4 linked regions of the Arabidopsis thaliana genome follow. The protein of the gene in region 1 interacts with the protein of each later gene in a pairwise test. Each region holds a gene or a part of one and is shown in the gene's direction. Other genes may lie near its edges.

The links.
Region 2: the proteins of AT5G59650 (region 1) and PGR5-LIKE A interact in a protein complementation assay, tested with the Arabidopsis thaliana proteins (one large-scale study listed by BioGRID).
Region 3: the proteins of AT5G59650 (region 1) and AT4G26620 interact in a protein complementation assay, tested with the Arabidopsis thaliana proteins (one large-scale study listed by BioGRID).
Region 4: the proteins of AT5G59650 (region 1) and AT1G80890 interact in a protein complementation assay, tested with the Arabidopsis thaliana proteins (one large-scale study listed by BioGRID).

The regions. Positions count from the first base shown.
Region 1 is NC_003076.8:24,029,823-24,035,654, forward strand, and holds AT5G59650 (Leucine-rich repeat protein kinase family protein), read left to right. Parts: upstream 1-1,523; coding exon 1,524-1,605; intron 1,606-1,715; coding exon 1,716-2,253; intron 2,254-2,361; coding exon 2,362-2,817; coding exon of another isoform or gene 2,818-2,840; intron 2,841-2,899; coding exon 2,900-3,094; intron 3,095-3,180; coding exon 3,181-3,252; intron 3,253-3,336; coding exon 3,337-3,408; intron 3,409-3,494; coding exon 3,495-3,563; intron 3,564-3,658; coding exon 3,659-3,825; intron 3,826-3,916; coding exon 3,917-4,158; intron 4,159-4,229; coding exon 4,230-4,356; intron 4,357-4,435; coding exon 4,436-4,501; intron 4,502-4,584; coding exon 4,585-4,774; intron 4,775-4,875; coding exon 4,876-5,278; downstream 5,279-5,832. UniProt on the Arabidopsis thaliana protein: Required for accurate photosynthesis.
Region 2 is NC_003075.7:12,005,459-12,010,090, forward strand, and holds PGR5-LIKE A (PGR5-LIKE A), read left to right. Parts: upstream 1-1,527; 5' UTR 1,528-1,698; coding exon 1,699-1,897; intron 1,898-2,323; coding exon 2,324-2,436; intron 2,437-2,534; coding exon 2,535-2,631; intron 2,632-2,723; coding exon 2,724-2,824; intron 2,825-2,919; coding exon 2,920-2,976; intron 2,977-3,060; coding exon 3,061-3,137; intron 3,138-3,230; coding exon 3,231-3,393; intron 3,394-3,472; coding exon 3,473-3,570; coding exon of another isoform or gene 3,571-3,574; exon of another isoform or gene 3,575-3,647; coding exon 3,648-3,717; 3' UTR 3,718-3,727; intron 3,728-3,799; 3' UTR 3,800-4,078; downstream 4,079-4,632. Other genes in the region: LDOX (leucoanthocyanidin dioxygenase), read right to left, coding at 1-20, 105-601. UniProt on the Arabidopsis thaliana protein: Ferredoxin-plastoquinone reductase involved in cyclic electron flow (CEF) around photosystem I. The homodimer is probably not involved in CEF.
Region 3 is NC_003075.7:13,426,476-13,431,698, reverse strand, and holds AT4G26620 (Sucrase/ferredoxin-like family protein), read left to right. Parts: upstream 1-1,649; 5' UTR 1,650-1,821; coding exon 1,822-2,199; intron 2,200-2,695; coding exon 2,696-2,781; intron 2,782-2,888; coding exon 2,889-3,194; intron 3,195-3,443; coding exon 3,444-3,527; intron 3,528-3,622; coding exon 3,623-4,100; 3' UTR 4,101-4,510; downstream 4,511-5,223. Other genes in the region: AT4G26630 (DEK domain-containing chromatin associated protein), read left to right, coding at 1-30, 227-318, 539-569, 657-826; D6PKL1 (D6 protein kinase like 1), read right to left, coding at 4,511-5,223.
Region 4 is NC_003070.9:30,395,258-30,398,726, forward strand, and holds AT1G80890 (GAG1At protein), read left to right. Parts: upstream 1-1,870; 5' UTR 1,871-1,953; coding exon 1,954-2,104; exon of another isoform or gene 2,105-2,526; coding exon 2,527-2,618; 3' UTR 2,619-2,953; downstream 2,954-3,469. Other genes in the region: AT1G80880 (Tetratricopeptide repeat (TPR)-like superfamily protein), read right to left, coding at 1-966, 1,072-1,664; MGT1 (magnesium transporter 1), read right to left, coding at 3,032-3,262, 3,349-3,396.

The DNA.
Region 1 (5,832 bases):
TTTTGTATTAAAATTGGTAACACTTATGTCACAATCTATGACCAAACGCAAAAGTCACTAAAACAGTGACAAATTGTGTCATCGTTGTTACAAAATTCTCGTAACTATACATGACATAAATTCAGTCACAATTATCGTATAATTTAGTTACTATATTTGGTCGCAAATCCGTACTTATATTTATGACTATATAATTTGTAACAAATTTGACATAATTAGTGACAAACATTAGTTACATTCAATTAAGTCATAATATTATAACGAAATAGTAACGTTTTTATGACCAAATAAATACGTCACAATTTTGTATGAAAATGGTCACAATTTTCTGACGAAAATAATGACCGTAATTTTTTCGTAAGAATATCGATTTCTGACCAGACGCTCTTCAATATCCGTTAGTAGTTGTGACACTTGAATGTGGTTTTGGACATGTCACCAGAAACTTGTCTTCAAGTGGTCTAACTGGAACCATGGCTGCTGCGATTCAAAATCTTACGCAACTAGAAACTCTGTAAGTAAGCTTGAATAATATACATACCGTTGCGTTTAAAAAAGCTACTCTCCAGCGACCGTGTTTCCAGCACTCCAAATTCATTATTTTCTGTTTAATGGGCTGATAAAACCCATGTTTGGCCCATAACAATTATTTCTGTTATTATAGCAACGTTGAAAAATATACATACCGTTGCGTTTAAAACGCTACTCTCCAGCACTCCAAATCGCCAATCGCGTTCTCAAACAGTGCTAATCGCCGATGAAGAGGTCTCATTGTCATCGCCGTCCTTCTCACGACGGGAGATTTCGCTGCCGTATATGGCCGATTTATCTCCGGAGATTCCTCACATTCGTCCTCCTCCTCACAAAAGTTATTGGGCCGGCTCAAAGAGATGGAATCAAAATTCTCTCAGTTTCATGGCCGGAAGGTAATTTCTCAGTTTATGATGTAACTGAAAATCCTTTAAAAATTTGAACTTTATGATTTTAGATATCTGATAATGGCGTCTTTGTCTTGAAATTTGTTTCTTCATGTTGACCCACTTCTCTTTAGATAATAGTCATTGTTGATAAATGTGAATCCTCTGCTTTGTGATTAGAAGCTGTTCTTGTCGATGAAGACGTCAAAATGTGTATTAATTAGTGATAAATTATCCGATATGATTCAATCAAAGTCACTGACCACTAGAAAGTCAAATCTCTTGCTTTCTCTCTGTGTGAACATTTTTTAATGCGTTAAAAGAGTGGTGACTGTAAAACCCTCTATTGACATATTCTCTTAAAAACACAGAAGTTGCATATTATTTTTTCTAAATACAAGTTGCATATATTCTGACATTCTTGGGACAAATCAAATTTGTAATTGTAAAGTTGCAATAGAAAACACATTTACTCATTCGTTTCACTGACTCAGGACATCTTGCCATGTTGCCAGAGGCTTGGACTGTTTCTTGGGTTTATCTATTTATACGCTGTGTTTCTCTCAAACTCTGGCATTGGTAAGGTTTTGATATCTAAAAGCAATTATGGATAGTCCTTGTTGGCTTTTGCTGCTGCTATTAGGAGCTTTTGCCATTATTGGTTGTGTTCAAGCTCAGGATCAACAAGGTACCTAAATCTTAATGGTTTATATGTATATTACACTACTACTTCTTACTGATTCGAGTCTTAGTTATGTTTGTATCTGAGATGCTTTTGATTTTTCACTCTCTTAACAGAGTTTATCAGTTTGGATTGCGGGTTACCCATGACTGAACCGTCTTCTTATACTGAGTCAGTAACCGGACTACGGTTCTCGTCTGATGCTGAATTCATCCAGACTGGTGAAAGTGGTAAAATCCAGGCGAGTATGGAGAATGACTACCTTAAGCCGTACACGAGGCTGAGGTATTTTCCAGAGGAGAGAAGGAACTGCTATAGTTTGAGTGTTGACAAGAACAGGAAATATTTGATCAGGGCTAGGTTCATTTATGGGAATTACGATGGTCGTAACTCTAACCCGATATTTGAACTGCATCTAGGACCTAATCTGTGGGCAACTATAGATTTGCAAAAGTTTGTGAATGGTACAATGGAGGAGATCCTTCACACTCCAACATCAAACTCTTTGAACGTTTGTCTTGTTAAGACAGGGACAACTACACCCTTGATCTCAGCCTTGGAATTACGGCCATTAGGAAATAATTCTTATCTCACAGATGGTTCTTTGAATCTTTTCGTTCGGATATATCTCAACAAGACAGATGGCTTTCTTCGGTAAGTGTTTTTTTTTTGGTTAACAGTGATGGATTCTATATTCCTATACTCTTTATTTTTAACATTCCTATACTTATTCAAGGATAATACAACCTTTGTTCCACATAGGTACCCGGATGATATTTATGATCGCAGATGGCATAATTACTTTATGGTGGATGATTGGACCCAAATTTTCACCACTCTCGAAGTGACCAATGATAACAATTATGAACCACCAAAAAAGGCTCTTGCAGCGGCTGCCACGCCTTCTAATGCCAGCGCGCCATTGACAATCAGTTGGCCACCAGACAATCCTGGTGACCAATATTACTTGTACAGCCACTTCTCTGAGATACAAGATTTACAGACCAATGATACCAGAGAATTTGACATATTATGGGATGGAGCTGTTGTTGAAGAAGGTTTCATCCCTCCAAAGTTAGGGGTGACTACTATCCATAATCTTTCTCCAGTGACATGCAAAGGAGAAAATTGCATTTACCAGCTAATAAAAACCTCGAGGTCAACTCTTCCTTCTCTACTTAACGCTCTTGAAATCTACACAGTTATCCAATTTCCACGGTCGGAAACAAATGAAAATGATGGTATGTTACTTATCTTCATTGTTATGCAGATACAGTCTGTTTTTTTTTTTTAACTAGAGAAATCAACTTCACCTGCTAATTCTCACATCCTTGAGCTCTACATCAGTGGTTGCTGTTAAAAATATCGAAGCTGCCTATAAATTGAGTAGAATCAGGTGGCAAGGAGATCCTTGCGTCCCTCAAAAGTATGCGTGGGATGGTTTGAACTGTAGCAACAACACAGATGTTTCTAAACCTCCAAGAGTATTATCCTTGTAAGTCGTAAGATCCAAGATATGAACATGCACACTTTGACACTTATCTTCAAAATAAGTTAACTATCATGCTTTGGAATCACCAGAAATTTGTCTTCGAGCGGTTTAACTGGAATCATTGCGGCCGCAATTCAAAACCTTACACATTTAGAAAAACTGTAAGTATGGCCATAGTTAATATTGGTTTTGTTGATGGAGGAAAACCTAATGAGCTCTACTTTATTTTGGAAATAAACTTTTAGGGACTTGTCAAATAACACACTAACTGGAGTGGTGCCGGAATTTCTAGCCCAGATGAAATCGTTGGTGATCATGTAAGTTGCTCAGCATATTTTCGTTTACTTTCAGTTCTCCTTTGGTTCATGTGTCTGTATGCATGAAGATTGCTCTTCTTTAATAGAAACTTAAGCGGCAACAATCTTAGTGGTCCCCTTCCTCAAGGTCTTCGAAGAGAGGGACTAGAATTACTGTAAGAAACTTCCCACGTACTTTTTAATATTCCACAGTTATTTTCCACAGCCCTTTTGTGATTTGATGTTTTTAACAACACTCTTTTTCTTGCAGAGTTCAAGGCAACCCAAGGCTTTGTCTCTCTGGTTCCTGCACAGAAAAAAACTCGAAGAAGAAATTCCCGGTGGTGATTGTTGCATCAGTTGCTTCTGTGGCCATAATTGTTGCTGTGTTGGTTATTATTTTTGTTCTCAGTAAGAAAAAGTCATCTACTGTGGGAGGTAATTTGCAGGAGATCTCTCATCAAATCAAGAAACTGCAACAAATCGATGAATTCTTACATACCCTACTTTTTTTCTTTCTTATCTATAGCTCTACAACCTCCACTGAGTATGCCAATGGTTCATGATAATTCACCTGAACCATCAATCGAGACGAAAAAGAGAAGGTTTACTTATTCAGAGGTTATCAAAATGACGAATAATTTTCAAAGAGTTGTAGGGGAAGGAGGATTCGGTGTTGTTTGTCATGGTACTATAAATGGTTCTGAACAGGTGGCTGTTAAAGTTCTCTCTCAATCATCAAGTCAAGGATATAAGCATTTTAAGGCAGAGGTATGCATAATCTTCTTAAAAATATGACCATCTAACGCTTTCTCTTACTTTTATTTCCCATGAATGATTAGGTTGATCTTCTTCTACGAGTTCACCATACAAATTTGGTGAGTCTTGTTGGATATTGCGATGAAAGAGATCACTTGGCTCTCATCTATGAGTTTTTGCCCAAGGGAGACTTAAGACAACATCTATCTGGTAAACTTGAATTTCTTCATGATTCGAAAGTGTATATATGTTTCAACGTTCCCAAGGATCTAAAGAATCAAGTATTCAGGAAAAAGCGGTGGGTCCTTTATCAACTGGGGTAATCGTCTACGAATAGCTCTGGAGGCTGCACTAGGTTCGTAAGCTTATTAGCCAATATTGGCAGCTTAAAATGACTTTCCTTCTGGTGGACTAACAAATAATCATTCCTTTGAATAGGATTGGAATATCTACATTCTGGATGCACACCACCAATTGTACATAGAGATATAAAAACGACAAACATATTGCTGGACGAACAGTTAAAGGCCAAGCTTGCCGATTTCGGCCTTTCGAGATCTTTCCCTATTGGAGGTGAAACACATATTTCAACTGTGGTTGCTGGTACTCCTGGATACCTTGATCCTGAGTAAGTGTCGTTAGTTACCATTACAATGTGCTGAAAGTGAGTTGTCATTTTGCACTTTATATATTGGTTAGAGAGTATAACCATGTACTTTTGCCGTGCAGATATTACCAGACAACTCGACTGGGTGAGAAGAGCGATGTGTACAGCTTCGGAATTGTGTTATTGGAGATTATCACAAACCAACCTGTGATTGACCAGTCCCGTTCAAAGTCTCACATATCACAATGGGTTGGATTTGAGCTTACCCGAGGAGATATTACTAAGATCATGGATCCAAACCTGAACGGGGATTACGAATCTCGTTCTGTATGGAGAGTTCTTGAACTGGCAATGTCGTGTGCGAATCCTTCTTCTGTGAACCGACCAAACATGTCCCAAGTTGCTAATGAACTGAAAGAATGTCTTGTTTCTGAAAACTTGAGGGAAAATATGAATATGGACTCTCAGAATTCTCTTAAAGTGAGCATGAGCTTTGACACAGAGTTGTTTCCGAGGGCAAGGTAGTATGTGCTGCAGGTAACACAACCATGCTAATTAGTTGGGCTATTGGTCATGTTTGCTTTGATCATCCACATGCCAAGATCATATACCCTGTTACTTGGTGATGTTTTCATTATTTTATGTGTGCTTAGTGATGTTTTCATTCTTTGTATGTGTGGCTTGGATGCTAATAATCATTGACCGTAAAAGAGTATACCTCTTTGTGGTTCCATCATTAACAAACAAATGATTTTGGTTAAATATTTGTAAAATGGTTGGAAGAGTATTGATTTAAAACTGTCAAATAGTATATAAAATTAAAGAAACAGATTATGGATTGTGATTTCTCAACATACATTTATCTGTACTCTGAAATTATTAGGCTCACCATTCACTTAAGGCTATGTCAAATATAATTGATGTGATAGTTTATTGCTTAACGTGCTTCTGGGTCTGCTCCATATCTTCCATGATTGAGTTCATGATAGTGATGTTGGGACTTTGCTGTCCTCTTTTTCTTATTCATTTTGTTGAATAGAAAATGCATTTACTCATTTCTTTTGGCTTGGCAAAGTCTT
Region 2 (4,632 bases), on another chromosome or scaffold:
CGTACTCACTCGTTGCTTCTCTACAATCATCGAAAAACGTTAATAAAAGATTCTAAAACCAAAACAAGATTTTGTTTTCTTTAGTAAAACAATTCAAAGCTTACATGTAATCACTTGGTGTCTTAGGCCAAATTGATAGATCTCTCTTCTCTTCAGGATACGCAAGATGAAAGAAGTAATCTTCCCATTCCAATTGTCCACTCGCGTTGTTAGCCAATTTACTTCCATAGCCTTGAATCTTTCCAGTGGCTTGATCGTTTGCATACTTCTCCTTCTCTTCCACAGACAAACTGAAAAACTCTTCTCCGGCTTTCTTGACACGCTCCATTAGATCAGCTGGTATTCCATGGTTGATCAAATGCATCACTCCCCAATCCAAAGATGCCTTTTTCAGCTCCTCAATACAATTCTCACGGATCTTTTCATCGTCTGACTCGATGTTCTTTAGATCGATTGTGGGAACTTGAGGACCGTCTTCTTTCTTCTCTTCTAGGAAAACATCGTTGATGCTCTCGAGCTCTTCTTTTGGACGAATATATTCTTTTGGAATCGATATGATTCCGCTTTTTGCTAGACTCTCAACTCTTTCAACCGCAACCATCTTCTTTAGTCTTCTGTTTAAAGCTAAAACAGAGCAGAAAACAGAGTAAGAAGTAAATAAACTTAAAAACAGGGGAAAAAACAGAGTAATAAAAAAAATGGATTTGTTTTGTTTTTCTTCTTACACTCTTTTTTGTAATTGGTTGCAAGTAAATGAAATGTGCAAAGACTCTTTCTTATATAGCAAAGTTTTTACTATACTTTTAGTTAGAAGAGTTTGTTACCGAACTAAGAGACATTGTAGAGCTACCGGTGGTTAGTGCTATTGTTGTGAGGTAAGTGCGTGACTCACTTCACGGTCAACGGGAGAGGATGGTTGGGTTGACTGATTGGTCAAAAAGATTACTACTATATGGGCTTGGGTCTAGACTCCCAGAAAAGGCCCAATAGAATTAAACCCATAATCGCTATCAACGTGTTCTTCGTCGCGTGCTTTAAGCGTGTCTCCACGTGTTCACCTCTACTAGTTCTTCTACTAACCACATTTTCTTTTTGTAGTTTGGAAATCAATTACTAAAAAAACAATTTGACTGGTTTTCAATTTCAAATAGACAATTGTATGTGGATCAATAATTCTTTTGGAAAACTAAATTATTTATCTTGTTTGTTTTTTAAAATTTGGAACTCATTTTTATTTTAATGGTTTGTACTAAAGTATATTATCAGCTGAATTCAACTACACATACTACATGTCAAATTTTTTTAAAAAATCACCATGTTTCGAAAAAAAAATCTTCTTACTCATCTCACAGTATTTTTTTTATTGTATAATCAAAGCCTAAAATTATGTCTTTTCTCTATTTTAAGTTTTTGTTTTGTTTAAGAAAACCGGATATTTAATGCTGACGTGGATATTCTGATTATGAGGATGAGAGGAAGGAAAAAATAAGAGAAATCTGCCTAGGAATTTATCTCCACACTTCTCTTATCTCCTAATTTCTTCCCTCCAAATTTATAATAAAACCAAAAAAAAAAAAAAAAAAAAAAATCAGAAGAAACCTGAGAAGCTCACAGTAAACACATCTTCAACCACAGGTTCATACTTACTGAAAAAAACAGAGGAAAAAAAGGAGCTCCCTTTTCTATCTCTAAGGGAAAATGGGTAGCAAGATGTTGTTTAGTTTGACAAGTCCTCGACTTTTCTCCGCCGTTTCTCGCAAACCTTCCTCTTCTTTCTCTCCTTCTCCTCCGTCGCCGTCTTCGAGGACTCAATGGACTCAGCTCAGCCCTGGAAAATCGATTTCTTTGAGAAGAAGAGTCTTCTTGTTGCCTGCTAAAGCCACAACAGAGCAATCAGGTCTTGATTTGGCCACTTTAGTCTCGATTTCGAACACTCCGCCTTAGTTTTCTGTTTACAAAGCCATTTGGATTCGAATTTGTTCACAATTGGGTTTCCAAAGTTTGAGCCTTTTGAAATTTAGGATATATTATTTTAATTCAACGTCTCTAGCTCTGAAAATTTATGTTTTTAAGTCACTAACTTGTAGTATCCAGACTCGAATCCTGTTAAAGTTCAATTCTTTGAAGGGTTTGATTGATTCAATGGCTATAACTTTGGTATAGTATATTTGTTTGTATTGGACTTTGTTGACTATTTAGTGGTTAACTCTGTACTAAAGTTTTGCAATGTCAGAAGTTGTGTAACTATTAGGTTGCATAAGTAAGGTATCAACTTTAGATTTGCTATGAAGTTCTCAATTACAGTCTTTTTGTCTTCCTTAAGGTCCAGTAGGAGGAGACAACGTCGATAGCAATGTTTTGCCCTATTGTAGCATCAACAAGGCTGAGAAGAAAACAATTGGTGAAATGGAACAAGAGTTTCTCCAAGCGTTGCAAGTAAACGCTACAATAAACCATTTTTTTTATAGTTGCCAAAACATGATATATATCTAATCTTCAAGAGCCTGAGAATTGCTTTTGTCTTTTGATTACAGTCTTTCTATTATGATGGCAAAGCGATCATGTCTAATGAAGAGTTTGATAACCTTAAAGAAGAGTTAATGTGGGAAGGAAGCAGTGTTGTGATGCTAAGTAATCATCAACTATGGGACTAAATTTCATTTCTTTGTTTTGGTTTCTTTGGTGCAAAGTCCTAAATCTTTTATTGGTAATATGAAACACAGGTTCCGATGAACAAAGATTCTTGGAAGCTTCCATGGCTTATGTTTCTGGAAATCCAATCTTGAATGATGAAGAATATGATAAGCTCAAACTCAAACTAAAGGTTTCCATTCACTTTTTATGCTTCAGTGAAAATAGACATACCCTTATAAGATTGGTTTAAGCTTCAAGTTTATGATTCTTTCTGTATCCATGTAGATTGATGGTAGCGACATTGTGAGCGAGGGTCCAAGATGCAGTCTCCGTAGTAAAAAGGTAAATAGAACATAAGATTCATTGTTAATATTAGATTATAGATAGATACTAATTTTCAGTCTTTATGAACTTCCTCAAATGTAGGTGTATAGTGATCTCGCTGTAGATTATTTCAAAATGTTATTGTTGAATGTTCCAGCAACCGTTGTTGCTCTCGGACTGTGAGTCTCTATACCGAGTTTTCTATTCAAACATCCAAATCATATGAAACCCATATTTCGTCTTTGTTTATTCATTCAATTCTGTACTTGCAGCTTTTTCTTCCTGGACGACATTACAGGTTTTGAGATCACATACATCATGGAGCTTCCAGAACCATACAGTTTCATATTCACTTGGTTCGCTGCTGTGCCTGTGATTGTATATCTGGCTTTATCAATCACCAAATTGATCATCAAGGACTTCTTGATCTTGAAGGTAAGAACCATTACCATTACTCAAGATTGCAAAAGAAAAACATCAAAGAGCCTTTTTATGAATGTTTCTTGTTTCACAGGGTCCTTGTCCGAATTGTGGAACGGAAAACACCTCCTTCTTTGGAACAATTCTGTCAATCTCCAGCGGCGGCAAAACCAACACTGTCAAATGCACCAAGTAAGATTTTACCTTCGAATATGGTTTCAAAAGTGTAACATATTACTATCTGATTCTTTGATTATCTCTGTTTTTAGCTGCGGAACCGCGATGGTGTATGACTCGGGTTCTAGGTTGATCACATTGCCAGAAGGAAGCCAAGCTTAAACCCTGTGAGGTACACATCTCATTTATAGTAAATTCTTTAGATCACATGGAAGTCAGAGATAGTAAAATTTGCTTTTTCCAGCTAGATGAAGATGGGAAAAGAAGAATGGGTTTTGTCAGAAGCAAAATAGATTCGAAGTTAAATGTATATGTAAGATCTTCCATGTTAGCTCTCTCTCCTTCACATGTTTTCTGATTTGTAAGTATTGTGTGTAAGCAATAAGAGATATATAATATGAGCACTTCTTCATCTACCTTTGTAGATAAAAATATAATCATTACTATAGTTAAATCAAATTGTATACATGAAAGACCAAATTCGAATTTAAAATGTTTATTTCGATAACTTTACAATTTCAAATTAACTTTGGTACATTTCTAATACTATTATGATTTGTATCTAAAACGACCTTAAAAAATGATTTTAAGTCAAGAAAACGAAAAGCATACACGATTATATACATTTGCTTACCGAGGCAAGAAACTATGAGAAATGCATGGTGTTAATTTGGATGTAAATTTTATGAAATGGTGTGGAACATAAAGAGATTGATTGAGAAGAGAACTAAAGTCAAGAACATATATAATGAAAGGACAGACAAAGGTAACAACATTGCACAAAAGAGGATAAAGTCACACAAACATTAGCACGCCAATGTCTCTCTCTTTTTTAGTCTAAAAATTGATTACAATTTTTTTTTATGAATTTTAATTAACACAGAAAGTGTAATCATGATCATCATCTTCCCATGCCTCTATCATCATTGATCCAATTTTCTCCTCCACTACTGAACCTATTAATTGCTTTTACGTTGATTTAAAAATTTTAAAACCTCTACGTTAGAACGGTCATATGCTTATTTAACAATTAGATCATGTCTTCTATAAAGGTAAAAGAGAAATCTGACAAATGAA
Region 3 (5,223 bases), on another chromosome or scaffold:
CTTCAAAGTCTGCATCAAAAGAGAAGCCAGGTTTGGTCATTATCCTGTTTTTTTCTTCCAGTAAGATGGTCGCTTAGGTAGAATAAAAACATGTTGGGTGTAGTGTATGTCAGATGCATTGGAGAATCTTATTCCTTATATCTTCATTTTCAGAAGCGAACCAATATACAACCACTAATGTTTTCTGACACCATGTTTATCTCTGTTTGTGTCTATATGCTAAAAGTAAAAAGGGCTGGAAAAGGGAAAGACAAGCCGAGTGATAAAGTGCTGAAAAATGCAATCGTTGAGATCTTGAAAAGAGTGGACTTTAGTACGGTGAGTAATTTCTCAACCTTTTATATGCGATACACTTAACTACTTGGGATGTGTGTGGAATAAAACAAAATTGGATTCTGCCGAACAAACTTATTGGTTACATGAAATAACCTTCGTTTTCTGAAAGCTGATTTGAAGTTTGTTGTGCAATATCTATTCAAACTGTGAATTTCCTTCTATACCTAGATAACCTAATAAGAGCATTGTTGTTCTTCTGCAGGCTACGTTCACGGACATCCTTAAAGAACTTGGTATGAACAGATTGGTTTCAGTCATTTGTTTTTCCAGTGATTCCTGGTTATATATAAAATAAACACATTGTTTCATCCATCTTTCAGCTAAGGAGTTCACAGAAGATCTCACTCCAAGAAAGTCATCTATAAAGATGATAATCCAAGAGGAGCTCACCAAATTAGCAGATGAGGAGGAGGAGGAGGAAAAGAAAGAAGAGGATTCAGAGAAGGAGGAAGCAGGAGGGTCTGGTGGTGGTGAGGAGGTGAAAGCCTAAACTCCTTTCTGATCACATCGCACATATTGAGTCTCTCTGTCAGATACTGTTGCCTAATGCCTAGTAGTCATCTGGCAAATGTGTAAGTTAAATCTGTGGATGTAATATTTTGTTGTTGGAGTCTGAACTGCGTAAAGCAGCTTTACTTTTGGTAGAGACAAGAGGAAGAAGCTGCATAGCCAAAGGATAGGTTGCTTGTATGTCTATAGCATTTAACATAAAAGCCTCCTTGGATTGTCTTTGATTTGTGAGGCTCCCTTTTCGAGACATTGTCAAGGTTTCTTTTGTTTATGTCTTTTGGTTTGAAGGAGGCCAATGGTAATAAATGAATAATATGTTTCTCTTGATTCCCTTTAAGACTTTGAATATTGCAGAAGGAATTTATGCTCATCTTGTATCCTTGATCTATCTCTAACATATCTGCAAATCTACCAACGCAAATCCAGTCTAAGAAATGTAGGAATTGGTACCTCATAAACATATACAACAAAGATTAACATTGATGAAGAAGAGAGTCTGTATTCTTACAGGACCAAAATATACAGAAAAGAATCTGTGCTCTTCTTCTACATCCCCTTTTCGGACAACCCAAACACAAGTTCCAAAAGAATGTAATTGCTGTTGTTACATTCAGAGTACCTAAATAGATTGCAATGGAGACACTGCAAATACATAGAATTCAAAGCAGATGGCTAAACATGGTTAACTATAAGCATAAGCAACACTTGTCCAGGCTTTTATCATTCTGGCTGCAGCTACTATTATCTTATTTGATGTACTAGATTCGAAAAGACCTGTCACACACACAAAGGCAAAAGTACCGGTCCGATTGCAAAATAGAATATCGATTAAGGAGTAAACCGGAATAAGAGTAACGGAATATACTTGACAGACCTCTCTCAGTAGAAGAATCACTGAGAAACTTTCACTTCTTCTTCGTCTCCGTAGTTTCAGTTTCGATCTGTAAAGTTTCAAACTTGTGGTCGAATTTTTAAATGGGAAGTGGAAGAGATAGAGACGACCCTTTATCCTTCACCAGCAATCCATCTACGGCGTCGTCTCCAGTCACTGTATCTGACTATCTCGACAACTTTCTCGGCGAACCCACTTCTCGCTCCGGTAGTTTTCAAAGCGAGAGCTTACTCGGTGGAGGCGGTGGAGAAAGCATCAACGACGCTGATTTTGGATTCGCTCGTCCTGATTTCCGATCGGAACAACTAGCTGGAACCGTACAGTTTTACGAGAGGCATGTCTTCTTGTGCTACAAAAAGCCATCTGTTTGGCCCGCAAGGATCGAGGCTGCTGAGTTCGATCGATTGCCTAGGCTACTCTCTGCTGCTGTATCGGCCAGAAAGGGTAGCATGAAGAAGGAGGTCAGCTTTTTACTCTACTATTTTCTGATTCCATTGATTCAGCTTGTTCGCTGTTAACTTGCATCTCCTGTTTCCAAGTATATTGCTTGATTCTCATAAATCTAGGTCTGATTGTTTCCAATAAGTCTCCCAAATAAGCAAAAAGCATTTGCGTTCACTTGTTTTGGCTTACTTAAAGTATCTGTTTAAGGTCGTAATGAGTCATAAAAACTCTTGCCTGGTGACTCTTGGGATTTCTGTATGGGTCAAATAAGGCAAAGTTTCTATTTTTGGCACGATTCTATGGCTAACAACATAATAACTTGTCTATTGGCTTCAAGATGGGATCTTAGGACTTGCACCTCCGTTTTTTGAGCTATGACAGTGGTGAACTTAAGTGGAAATGGTGTCTGTAATGGATTGCTTCTTTTCGGATAGTCTCATGATGATGCCTTCATGATTGTCTTTTGCTTTGTGCCTCATGTTTTTTTTTTTTTTTTTGGCCATTGTTTCGTAGACTCGACTCACAATATGTGAGGGGCATGATGGAACAGAGACATCCAATGGTGATGTACTTATTTTTCCTGATATGATCAGATACAGGTAAGGGGTGAAGTCTTCCTAGTTGGAGATTTCTTAGATTTGGTTTCGTTTTTTCTATCAACAGTTGGGACTTTTTTTTGACAGTTTTGATTTAACAAAAATTGCAGGAGATTGACTCACTTTGATGTGGAGACCTTTGTGGAAGAGGTGCTTGTGAAGGATGGTGAATGGCTGCCTGGAAATCCTGAATTGCTGAAAGGCTCATATGTCTTTGTATGTTCCCATGGATCCCGAGACCGGCGATGTGGGGTTTGTGGGCCGTCGCTAGTTAGTAGATTCAGAGAAGAACTTGAGTTCCATGGTCTTCAAGGTAAAGTGTCAATTAGCCCATGTTCTCACATAGGTGGTCACAAATACGCTGGGAATGTTATCATCTACCGATCAAACATCAACAGGGAAGTCACAGGACACTGGTGAGTAAGGAATTACGGATTTATCAACTAGTTTGAGGCTATATTCATCTTTTTCATGTGGTTTTACAATAATTTTGAATGAGAAGATCAAGAATACATTTGTAATGGTGTTGGTTTCATGAACGGTTGTGATCTTTTAATTGGTATCTTCAAACTTCAGTTGTTATTAGTACATTGGAAGTTCTCTGCAATGTCTGAATCAATCATACCCTGTTTTTGACTTGATGATTGAATCATTCTTGTGTCTAGGTATGGGTATGTGACCCCAGAAGATGTACCTATTCTTTTGGAGCAGCACATCAACAAAGGCGAGATTGTAGACCGGCTATGGAGGTACGTACAAAGTTTTCTTGTTCTGTCAGTTTTCTCGCAGTTTCCGGATTAGTGGTAATTGGTAGATTCACACATGATGCTTCTCTGATTATTAGGGGTGAAATGGGTCTATCAGAAGAAGATCAGAAGAAAACTCAAGAAGGGCGATTTCAGCTAAATGGTACAGTCCATTCCGTAAAGATCAATGGGAAAGTGAGTCAAGAATCATCGGTTCACAACGCCGATGTTTCCTGTTGCCAGTCACGAGCTGCAGAACCTAATGGTTGTTGCCAACAAAATGGGAACAGCTCTTCATGTTGTCAAGACGACACTACTCTGATGTTGTCACTGGGAACATCAGAAGATAATCAACTTGAAAGTGAAAACAACACTGAGAAGCTGACACCAGGAAGAAAAATTGCAGAAAAGACTTTCTTTAGAATTAATAGTGACAAAGGATCTTCGACACGTAAGGTTTGCGGAATACCAACATGGTTAGAGAGCTGGGAGCGAGAAGATACTTATGCTGCTCTTGCTGTTGTCTGTGCTGCTGCTTCCGTGGCTGTTGCCTATACTTGCTACAAACAGTTGTAACGAAGAAATTTGTAGCCCTAAGATGATTGTGTATTGTGTTCTTATAAGACATTGTGATTTTGTTTCTGCTTTCAAACTACATTTTCCTTTCGATTTAAAGGAGGGTTCTTGTCAGAACTGTTTGATGATATGTATCCTGTTAACTCTGCTTCTGCTTCTCAAGATTCTTAGAACCGAGTGTTATTGCTAAAATATCTCAGCTTTCGCAATTTCTGATTTAGAAAAGTAGCTTAGGGCTTTTAAGCTTCTTTGCGTTGCAGGTAATCACAAAACCATCTCAGCGTGAACTCTCAAGAATGGCATTGACAAAGAATTAAAAAGAGTTATCACATTTTCAAAATACTAAACGTATTTGCAGATCGCCAAGAACAAATTGATAAATCTAATGGCAGTTTTCTTGCTGAAATATGTCAAAAGAAATCGAACTCCAGATAATTACTCTGGTCAGACTTGACACTAGTAGATGTGGCTGCTGCTGGAGTAGCAGGCGCACTCTCATAATCAACCGGTTTTGGTATCTCTGGTGGGCTAGCGCATCGAACCAATGCCCAATTCACTCCTTCAAAGAAAGGATGTTGCTTCATCTCAGTTGCACCACGCTTATACGCTAATCTATGCTGAGGCTCTTTCACAAGCAGACTCCTAATCAAATCCCTAGCAGCAAAACTGACAACTGGAGATTCTGGGAAACGCAGAGGCTGACCCACAACGTTGAAGAGTGTTGCTCGGTTTCCTGACCCTTTAAACGGGGTTTTACCAAACAATAGCTCATACAAAAAGATCCCAAAAGTCCACCAATCAACCGCACTCCCATGCCCTTCACCTTTGATGATCTCAGGAGCTAAATACTCATGTGTGCCAACAAATGACATTGAGCGAGCACTTGTGGGCTCAGCAACGAGCTCGGGCAATGGACTTACCTGGTTTCCAGTTTCGTTTTTCATTTTCTTGTCTTTCTTGGATTTACTTGAGAAATAACGTGGAGAAAAGCATGTTGTAGGAGCAGAAATGCAAGATGGCTGTTGGATGCAAGCAGGTTGCGCACAATAACCCGAGTTCTTTTGCCCTTCAGACGCAAGAACAGTTGATCTGACCACTGTGGGGCTAACAGTACATCTCAAGG
Region 4 (3,469 bases), on another chromosome or scaffold:
ATCCTCTTGCTTTTTCTGACCCCCTTCACCTTTTGCTCCTCAAGAAGTTTCTGGAGCATAGGATTTCCTACGAACCCCTTTGATTTCATCTCTGAATAGATCTCTCTGGCCTTTTCAAGCCACCCACATGACAAAAGGCCCTGTATTGTAGCCAAGTAAAGAGCAGGATTAGCCACTATCTCAAAACGATCCATTTCTGCCCAGATCTTCAAAGCATTTTCTGGTTGCTTTCCCTTGAACAATTTTCCAAGAATAAGAAGAAAGGTCTCTTCTGTAGGACCTAAATCAGAGATCTTCATTTGGCCTAAAACCTCTAAAGTTTTCTCGAAATTTACAGCCTCAAGGAATGCATGAAATGTATCAACTGTTGGACTAAGGTTCTCACTAATCATGGTTGCCAATACATTCCTGGCTACGTCCAGCTTTCCAGCCTCACAAAGGGGGCGTATCATCGAGTTGTAGGTCACTGAATCTGGCTTTAATCCTTCCTCGTTCAACTTTTTCATAAGCTTCATAGCTTCATCAAAGCAATCCTCACGGGTCAACACATAAACCAAGGAATTGTAAACTTCAATCCCTGGAGCCAATCCCCGTTTCTTCATTTCATCGTATAGCCTGAGAGAATCAAAAAGGTTCCCAACTTTAGAGAAGCAAGAGATCATGTGACTGTAAGAGTCCTTGTTAGGCGTGATACAGTAATTCCCCATCTCTCGCCAAATCCTCTTTGCTTCAGTCACATCAGTCCAAATGTTACACCAACCATTAAGAATTACGTTGAATCCCTCAACATCCACCGGAAAGAGCTTTTTGCTTGCAAGCATGAACTCTTCAGCTTTTTCAATGTGGCCATGTCTACACAATGCACATAGCAATCCTTGAAATGCTTCATCATAAGGAGTGTGTTTAAACTTATCCATAATATCAAATGTCCGAATAGCTTGGCTAGTATCATTAGCAGCAGCATATCTACATCAACACCGTCACCAAGACAACCAATTCAATACCTAGCTAGTAAATCTTTCAATTTAGCACAACAAAAGAGAAACTTTTATCAAGAAGACGAAACCGAACCTGTCCATCATGAGAAACATGGCCTTTCTAGTATCCTTTGAAACATTAAACATATCACGGATCAAACACCAAGCAATGTTGAACTTTTGATGATTACCCAACACCCAGATCATCAAATCACAAGATTTCTGATCATCACAGCCGCGTTTCTCTCCCCATTTGAATGCTAGAAAGGCAAGCCTCCATTCATCTCTTAATTCCCAGATTAAGGAGTAGAAAGAATCATGATTTAGATCAAATGATGAGTCCTCCAGAGAAGCCATGGCATCCGCCTCTGACTCCAGCTCAGAGACCTGTCTGATTAAATCAATCAGACCCTTTTCTAACGGAGCCAATGCTGTTAAGTTGATATCAAATGTTTCGGAGATGGTTTTGGTGGAGAAGCGATTAGAAGAGGCAAAATGTGGGAGATAGCTTAAAACTTGAGAATGCACATGACCTGCTCGATGAAATGCTGAAGAGAAGGAATGATTTTGGGAAACTGAGCTCGAAAACGACGTCGACACTGCACGACGTAGCAGAGATTGATGCTGAACAATCCGCCATTGTGGCGTTCGCGCGAGTTTCCTACCAATGGCAACGATCGCGGCCATAGCGAGTGAGTGAGAAGGCTTAAATTAATACATTTCAAACATGGTCTTAATGGGATGAGGATATGAAGTTAATGGGGTCAAAAACGAATATATAGATAATATGGGGTCTAATATGGTAATAAACAAAGTAACACTAATATGAATGGGCCTAAATAGGGCCCATTTTAGATTTCTTTAAAAGATCCGAGAGAGAGAGGGATCTAATTCCTGATAAACCCTAGAAGAAGAAGAAGAAGAAGAAGAAGAAGAAGAAGAAGAAGAAGAAGAAGCAAAACCTGTGGAGATCGAGATGGGAAATGAGAGCAAGAGCAATTTGGGAGGAGGAGGAATTAGGGCAAAGATGGAGCACTATGTCTACAGTGGGGAGAAGAAGCACGTTTTGGCTGGGATCGGGATTATCTCCATCATCTTCGGAATCCCTTGGTATCTAATGAATCAAGGTTCGTTTTCTCTGGGCGATTTAGATTGAAATATATAAATAGATGTTTCTCTGTAGATTCCGAAATGGAAGAGGATGATGATATCAATAGCTGAAAGATTTAGAATCTAAAGTTTCTAACTTTATATTTCTTGGCAAATGCAATCAAGTGGTCGATCAAATAGAGTTTGATTATATGATAATGATGAGTCACAATGTTTATTCTGTTTGGATCATAATAGACTTGCATGATCACATTTTTTACCAAGTTTGTTTGCTTTTTCCCCTGATGATCACACATCGATTCAATTGCATAATCTCAATGGTTAAATATCTTATTTGCTATATGTGACATTTGGTAATATTCTCCTTGTTTTGTTCATTATATAGGCTAATTGTTTCTCTTATTGGCTTTTGTTGTTTGGTAAATCTGGTTTGTTTCAGGATCAAAGCATCGTTCTCACCAAGATTACTTGGAAAAAGCTGATAAAGCTCGAAAAGCTCGTCTCTCATCATCTTCATCCTCGGATAAGTAGTCATCTCCCCCCACTTGGATGGAGACTCTAGTCAACTACATTTTGTGAATGGATCCATACATCATCGTTTCCATGTCTATAAACTCAGCCATGTCTGTTCTAGAGTGTGGTTCAGTTCAGATATGTATCTTTACACTCTACACTTAGGTTTCTTTATCGAAGATATGTAAATTTGCGATAAGTTAAAGGATTCATCCTTTACGATACTGTTGTGTGAGCTGTGAGTTTCGACTAGGACAATCCATAAAGTGAAAGATCAAGATGAGTCTGGTATGGTTTGCTTAATAATCTTTCAGTAACCCAAAAAAAAAATACACGGGGTTTTATCTTGTAAAGGTCACAGGCGATTAATGTATAGATTTAAGCAACATAAACAGTAAAACAATCGTCTACGTGTCAGGGTAGTTATGTCTTCACAGAGGCATGAGTCTTCTACGTTTGTAGTACCAGAGGAATGCCAAAAATACAACAAGGCCACACACTCCAGTAATGGCTAAAACCCATTTGAAAGCACCAGGCTTTTCAAAGAAGTCTATCTCAAAATTCATCCCAAAGATCCCGGCTACAACCCCGAAGATGGCTACAACGAATGTGGCAGTAGTTAGCAGCAGCTCGAATTGGATCAGCTGATTCCGTACGTTATCCTGCAAATTCCAGAAATTTTCAGCAGATTCTTAAGGTTTTCTAAGCAAATAAGATATCTAAAAAAGATCAAGATTTCAAGGTATACCAATTGAATGTTGATGAAATCTTCGGTATCATCGATGTACTCCTTTAACTGAAGAGTAAAGAGAGTTGCAGGTGATTAAACCGCTTTTAAAAGCTGTTAAAACAAGATGATGAATGATCAC